2 linked regions of the Daphnia pulex genome follow. The protein of the gene in region 1 interacts with the protein of each later gene in a pairwise test. Links are inferred from orthologs where the notes say so. Each region holds a gene or a part of one and is shown on either strand. Other genes may lie near its edges. The genes, in order: electron transfer flavoprotein subunit alpha, mitochondrial-like; electron transfer flavoprotein subunit beta-like.

What was found.
Region 2: the proteins of electron transfer flavoprotein subunit alpha, mitochondrial-like (region 1) and electron transfer flavoprotein subunit beta-like interact in a two-hybrid assay, tested with the Drosophila melanogaster proteins (2 studies listed by BioGRID). The link is inferred for Daphnia pulex from reciprocal best matches to the Drosophila melanogaster genes wal and Etfb.

What each region holds. Positions count from the first base shown.
Region 1 is NC_060017.1:3,282,264-3,286,278, reverse strand, and holds electron transfer flavoprotein subunit alpha, mitochondrial-like, read left to right. Parts: upstream 1-1,480; 5' UTR 1,481-1,631; coding exon 1,632-1,673; intron 1,674-1,763; coding exon 1,764-1,916; intron 1,917-1,985; coding exon 1,986-2,250; intron 2,251-2,320; coding exon 2,321-2,554; intron 2,555-2,621; coding exon 2,622-2,725; intron 2,726-2,805; coding exon 2,806-2,947; intron 2,948-3,019; coding exon 3,020-3,093; 3' UTR 3,094-3,201; downstream 3,202-4,015. Other genes in the region: calcineurin-binding protein cabin-1-like, read right to left, coding at 1-198, 266-477, 553-654, 716-865, 934-1,047, 1,154-1,240.
Region 2 is NC_060023.1:10,149,759-10,153,374, reverse strand, and holds electron transfer flavoprotein subunit beta-like, read left to right. Parts: upstream 1-1,433; 5' UTR 1,434-1,555; coding exon 1,556-1,609; intron 1,610-1,676; coding exon 1,677-1,835; intron 1,836-1,940; coding exon 1,941-2,099; intron 2,100-2,166; coding exon 2,167-2,247; intron 2,248-2,325; coding exon 2,326-2,466; intron 2,467-2,536; coding exon 2,537-2,707; 3' UTR 2,708-2,854; downstream 2,855-3,616. Other genes in the region: persulfide dioxygenase ETHE1, mitochondrial-like, read left to right, coding at 1-40, 101-245, 314-499, 569-751, 815-937, 1,008-1,036; DNA-directed RNA polymerases I, II, and III subunit RPABC3-like, read right to left, coding at 2,992-3,109.

The sequences.
Region 1 (4,015 bases):
GACATACTTCTGTAAGTAGCCAGTAAGCTCTCTCCAACAGCAATCCATGATAACGATTCAATCTTCTTCGCTAACGGAATGCTTGGTAAAATCAATTCCGTGTATAGACCGCCAACTTCCTCACGAAGCTGCTGTGCTTCATTCAGACATTCCTGTTTTTCTTCTTCACTGTATGGGTAATTTTCAAACAAATGGATCCTGAAAACGAAAAATCACTATCAGATTTCTTGAAGCGACTCACACTTGTTTAATAGTAATTCCATACCATTTTTCGTTGAATATTTGTTTAAGGTCAATTTTCAACGAAGGAGAGATTTCAAAAATAAAATCTCGGAAAATAAGACCTCTGGTGTAGAAAGGGTCTTTTCCAAGGGCTATATTGATGTAGTGAAGGCACAAAACATCATCACCTAGCCCATACAAAACGCTGATAATTCCATCCAGGCAAGGCCAATGGTTGGGACTGCACTGTAACCCCTACATTGTAGCAAGAGATATTAACGAGAATTAGTAATATTTTCAAGTTATTATTATTCTGGTTGAATTCAGTACCTGAAGAAAAGCATGTCTTGCAAGCTGAAAGTTCTTTAAACTCATAGAAATTTTTCCAATGCTGTGCCAAACAGTTACATCAAGGGGATCAACTTCCACAGCCTAAAGATAAGCATGATTTTAGCTAAGAATAAAAATTTGCATTTTAGTCTATTCACTCCACCTCAAGATATGCCTCAAGTGCTTCATCAAAATTTCCTTTGGAAGCACACAAAGCTCCAATGTTTTTCAAACAAGCATATTTAATTTGGAGACAGGAAGACAAGGTGCCTATGTCTCTATTATCTTTTTCTTCTTTTTCATCCAACAAGGCCTAAATTTAAAGTGAGAATTTGATTGACATTATCAAATTAATCTAAGAATTTGAAATTTTGTTAATACATTTTCAATACAAGGTAAGGCAAGTGTGTGATGGAAGAGTTTGAGAGCAGCATCAAACTCATTTTTCTGTCTCAGATCTAGAGCTTCTTTGTACAAGTTCAACGAATCAGCTTCCTGAGAAAGCAAATAAGAAAATAAATAAATAACAAACATATGTTTTTGGTATGCAGTTCATCTCATTCTCTTGGAATAGTTAAGTACTTTTATAGACATTACTTACTTCGACTTCTTTTGTTGGTAGAACAGGTTCATCAACACCAGAACTTTCTTCAGACAACTCTTCGTTTAAGGCTGCAATCCTCAACATTCTCGTTCCGTTCACAAGCTAGAATCATTGAAAACTAGCCTACTGTAAGTAACGATATTGTTGTATACTAAACTTGCTAGAATTTGAATACACAACTTTTCTCTCTGTGTATTATCGAATTGTTGCTAAACTGTATGAGGAAATTTGTTAAACATCACTCGAAAATGAGACGCTAATAATAGAGAAATATTTTCAAAGCTAGAACAGCAGACGATACGAGAGTCGTTCCCATCCCGCTACAAACAAATGAACAACGCATGGCGATTTTCTGATTTCGGGATTTTCAGTCTGCTAGTTTTAATCGTTACGATTCAAGTCCCTTTTATTTTTCGTTGTGTAATTGGGTGACTGTTGGAGTACATCCATAATTCTGATAAGTTTGCATTAGAAAATGTTTTCGATTTCACAGCTGCGCAATTTCCAAGGAAGGAATGTGAGTGTTGCAGTATTATTTAAAATTATATTTTGCGGTTTTGCTATTGTTCTTGAAACAGTAAATCATGCTATTGAATCACATTGCCAGGTTTTCATCCTAGCCCACCGTTTTCAAAGTACCTTGGTTTTAGCTGAACACAACAATGGCAAACTTAACCCTGTCACATTGAGTGCCATCACAGCAGCTCAGAAAGTTGGTGGAACTGTGTCCTGTCTTGTTGCAGGAGCCAAGTGTGGATCGGTAAGTTCATCAGATGATTGCGGTACTGAAGAATTCTGAAGCTTTGTTAACTTTTCAAACTAATTTTAGGTAGTAGAACAATTGTCCAAAGCAACAGGGATATCAAAGATCCTTGTTGCTGAACATGCCAATCTTCATGGGTTGTTGCCTGAACCCTTGGCCCCCTTGGTTGTTGCTACCCAAAAGCAATTTGGTTTTACTCATATTTTAGCTGGTGCTTCTGCTTTCGGAAAAACTTTGCTTCCCAGAGTGGCTGCACTGTTAGATGTTTCTCCCATTTCAGATGTAACTGCAATCACAAATGCTGATACTTTTGTCAGAACAATTTATGCTGGTGGGTTACTAACTCCTATGTATTTCTTTGTTTATATTTTATCATGTCTTCAATTTTACATTTAAATCAGGAAATGCTGTTCTGACATTGAAATCCAATGATGGCGTTAAAGTCGTTACCATTAGGCCCACAAGTTTTCCTGCTGCTCTCATGGGGGATGCCGTTGCTCCTTCAGAAGCGTCTACTCAAACCGTCAATTCCTCACCTAATTCCGAATTTATTGGACAAGAGTTGACTAAGTCTGATCGTCCAGAGCTTTCGTCTGCCAAGATCGTCGTTAGTGGTGGTCGAGGATTGAAATCAGGTTTGAAGGATAATCTTAATAGTTTATGCCTTCATAGTACAATGTTATAATTATATTATATAATCAGGTGAAAACTTCGAGCTACTTTACAAGCTTGCCGACAAGATGGGTGCTGCTGTAGGCGCTTCGCGTGCCGCTGTTGATGCCGGTTTTGTATCCAACGACCTTCAGGTTGACTAGCATTTGTCTTTTTCTTCTTTGTCAAAACTCCATTTGGTAATCTGGATTATTCGCGGACGTGGCAACTACAGGTTGGTCAAACAGGAAAAATCCTTGCACCGGAATTGTACATCGCTGTTGGAATTTCTGGTGCGATCCAACATTTGGCTGGCATGAAAGATTCAAAAACCATCGTTGCCATCAACAAAGATCCAGAAGCTCCCATTTTCCAAGGTAACGTTTTGATGGATATTATTCAATTTTCTTTTTAGAACTGTTTTTAACTATTAATTCATTTCAATCAAGTTGCTGATATCGGCCTGGTAGCTGATTTATTCGCTGCTGTGCCCGAACTCACCGAGAAAATAGGAAAAAAGTAAAAAAATTTTGAAGCGACGTTGTTGCTGATTTATAAAAAGAAACAATGCAAATGTGTACGGAATATGGGATAAAAACAAACAAAAAAATATACAGATAGTATCCTTCTACCCTCAAAGGTCAGAGAACACCCGATCTGGAATCCCTTAAATGTTGTCGACCATTCAATCAGAGCTTCTACACTCGTCTAGTCTGGGCGTCCGCTGATGCAAGGCCAGACAAGGACTCTTTGCGGAACGGTTGTTTTGTGATAGTATCGTGAGCCACTTGTCGATTCATGCAGAATCGGATCAGAACCATCTAGTCTCCGGAACGCATTCAAACTATTCGCGCCCATATAATAATGAGGTGTATTGTTCACTGCGACTGGGAGGGGGGAGGGGAAGATTACAGGGACTAACGAAGGCGATAAATAAACAGCAAAATGACATTCATTAGTCCTGACGAGAAAGCCGTCATAGTACCATGGAAGATGGGTCTTAAAGGGGGGTTTCAGTGGTTCCATCACAAGTGAGGCGTGCCGTCAAGACGCAGATATGCCCACTGATATCACAGGCCATTAAGACGGCTGAGAGAACTGTGCTCATTCCGCGTTTCTTCTTTTCCTGCTTCATCTTTCATCTTCATTTCGTGAAATCCTTTTTGTGCTGTACAGTGTCACATGCTGCCGCCTCTTAAAGGCCAAGTGTGTCTCTCTCGCACAGTGAAGCCCAGACTTTTCATTTAGACAAAGAATATGATGCCTGGCGGACCACCAAAGCTGAGGTGGATCTTCTCTCTAGGAGTTGTTGGCCAGTTAGCAGTCAGCATCTCTCCCGTCAGCCCGAAGACGTAACAACTGGTAAATGCAAGAACGAGCCGCCCTGGCGTCGACATCGCATTGCAAGATACAAAACTCTAAACGCTAAATCACGATGAAAAGCA
Region 2 (3,616 bases), on another chromosome or scaffold:
CGAAAGGCAACCTCATTCCGGTGACTTCTTCCTTCGACAGGCAAGATGGCAATTTCCCAATACCCTTACATAATATTCATTCCATAAACTGTCTTTATAGTTGTTTGATAGAGAAAGCTGTACTTACACATACCTGCTTGCTGACGCCTACTCAAAAGATGCAGTACTCATTGATCCTGTCATCGAGCTTATTGAAAGGGACCTAGAGGTGGTCAAAGAATTGGAACTCAACATCAGATATGCTTGTATAATAAATTAATATAATATTTTTTTTCAAAACCTGTACAATAATTTCTTCTTTTTAATTTTCCAGTGAGTACTCATATGCATTCTGATCATTCAGCAGCTGCCCTTAAGCTAAAAAAGTACCTTCCGTCGTGCAAAACTGTCATTTCTGCAGCTAGCGGAGCAATCGCCGATATTTTGGTTCGCCATGGCGATATCATCCACTTTGGTCGACATCAGCTCGAAGTACGAGCAACACCCGGCCATACCAACTGTAATTTGATCAAAACATGATTACTTTAAGTGATTCGTATTTTCAAGTCGCGTGGTTATATTGTTTCAGGTTGCGTCACATATGTCTGTCATGAAGAAGGAGTCGCTTTCACAGGCGACACTTTGCTAATTAGAGGATGTGGTCGGACTGATTTCGATCAAGGCGATCCTGAAACTTTGTACAACTCAATCTATAACCAAATTTTCTCATTACCAAACATGCTCCGCCTTTATCCTGGACACGACTATCGGGGTACCAATCAACAAACACATTAGAATTCTTTTATACTTGTCTAATTTCTATTTATACATTCAGGCAGAACAGTGACGTCTGTTTTGGAGGAGAAACGCTACAATCCTCGATTGACCAAGAGTAGAGAAGAATTCATTCAAATCATGAAAACATTAAATTTCGCCCACACTACTGATAACCAAATGGGTATGATACTATGCACTTCATTTGCATTTTCTGTTAAGTAAAAAAAACCAATTCATTTAATTTGTTCCAGAACATTCTTTGCCGGAAAGTTTCAAGTAGACGTGCAGTAATCGGATGAAGGAGTTGATAAGCTATCTCTTATTAGCTTATGATACTCAACAGCCATTCATTACATAATCAAGGGGCATATAGTGCTTGTTTTGGCGCACCATATTTTTTAAATAAATTTATGCGGAACTCGGTGTAGCCGTTAGAGTGGGGCCACTGAGGCCTGCAACCTTCTCTGATCTATCACTTAGTCCAATGTCATTCCCCTATCGAATATTGATTTCATTTCCTTTCACTTGTATTTTGAAGGAATAAATTTGTTACAAAAATGAAAAAGAATTCTCGTTTGTTATTGATTTGCTGAATCAGAGGAATGAAACGTGAGATGTAAAAAAATATTCATAGTCGAATGCGCAATCCCACATTTTCAAACACCTCGCAACATCGCTCTTGTGTTCCCGCCAGGTGACGCTAGTGGTTTTAACGTCTTCTGCTTGTACTTTATTTGTCGTGATAACACGATAGAGCTTTCTCTAATTGTAACATTGTAATTTTTATATTGTAATTAAAATGTCTCTTCGAATCCTGGTCGGCGTAAAACGTGTTATCGACTATGCTGTCAAGGTAATTGACTTTTCGAAACTTTTTTAACGATTTAACAATGAAACTTATCGTGTTCTTGGAATTTTAGATCCGAGTCAAGCCCGACAAATCGGGAGTCATTACGGAGGGAGTGAAGCACTCAATGAACCCCTTCGACGAGATTGCCATTGAAGAAGCTGTACGTATGAAAGAAAAGAAGATAGCCAAAGAAATTGTGGCTTTCTCCTGTGGTCCAGCTCAGTGCCAGGTTGGCGATTTGTCAATTTCTAGATTACATAATTTTGGTACAAGATTGTCCATCATGTTACATCCTGAATATTTTTTATGATCTTGGCACTTTGGCGTGTTACAGGAAACACTGAGGACTGCTCTCGCCATGGGCGCAGATAGAGGCATACATGTAGAGGTTGCAGGACCACAGTTTGATACTCTGCAACCATTGCACATTTCCAAGATGTTGGCCCAACTTGCAAAAGATGAACAGATCGACCTAATTATTGTTGGAAAGCAGGTACCTAATTATCTCTTTTATCTTAATTATAACCCAATTATAAGAAAACATTGTTTTTCACTGACAGGCCATTGATGATGACTGCAATCAAACAGCTCAGATGACAGCTGCTCTTCTAGATTGGCCTCAAGCCACTTCTGCGTCCAAGGTTATTACTTATTGCTACTTTTTAAAATAATCAGCAGCGCACAACTGACAAAATCCGTCAATCATGTTTTCTATTCAGATTGAAGCCAAGGATGGCAGCTTGCAGGTGGTACGTGAGATCGACGGGGGGCTCGAGACAATTAAGGTGAAATTACCAACTGTCGTCAGCGCCGACTTGCGTCTGAATGAGCCTCGCTACGCAACTCTCCCCAACATCATGGTACTTTTTTTAATATACGCACAAATGCCCTCGATTTTTCACTCAAGTTTTTTATTTCTTTTCTTTTTAGAAAGCCAAGAAGAAGCCCATTAAGAAACTGACGCCTAAGGATTTAGGCGTCGACGTCAGCCCAAGAATTGAAGTAGTCACGGTCGAGGAACCACCCGTGCGGCTTGCAGGTGCCAAGGTCGAGAACGTCGACATGATGGTGGAAAAACTCAAAGCCCTCGGCCATGCTTAATTTGCAGGGGGGGATTGCAATGAGCATTGAAGAAAACCTGGACTTGCCCTTCTGGTTTCTGCCCATTTGTAGTTTGGCTTTTATCAATGCAAAAATCAAGTTGAAAAGATTACGCTATTACGGAAAAGAATACAAGAACTTATTATACTTACAACAATTCGTTTACTAATAAAATAAAGTCGAAACATTATTAGTTACAAAAAAATGCAAGTGTATTCAAAGAAATAATGAAGTACATTCATTCGTATCCCAAACTTGTAATTTATAAGTTTGCATACCACTTTTTAAAACGCAAGTTTCTTAATCAACAGGTAGATTTGTTGATCGACTTCGAATCCGTGAAGATTGTTGGCATCTCCCTGCAAACGCATCAGCAATCCTCCGTACGACGCATAGGCAGATCTGCACGAATCAATAAAGAAAATCATTACCGAACACTACCCATCATCTAAAAAAGAAAACAATCAAGATACACAAAAACATACAATTAAGGGCACACATGATCATTAGTAGTTTGGTCGAATATCGTGTCATCGACAGTGGACAGTTTGGATAGTGGCTGTGGATTCAAGTAAATATTTCACAACCAGCTAACCACACTGCCAACCATCAATACACTTATTGCCCAAACAATTTGTACTTGCATCAAGACACTTGTGGCTCAATGAGAAGCGAAGACTCGACTGTGACATGGAGACATTTGCAAAGTCCTTTTATAACGAGAAAGATGGGCACACACCACAACATGTCGACGAGAAAAAATCGTACGATAGGCGTTATTAAACGTCGTCGACCAATTAATATCCATAGGGAATTGCTTCGACGGTTCGACGAAAAACATCGACCCCCCCCACCCTTCCATTCTCAAATTAAAAAAGATGTTCGAAGAAAAAGAAATCGTCGTCATTT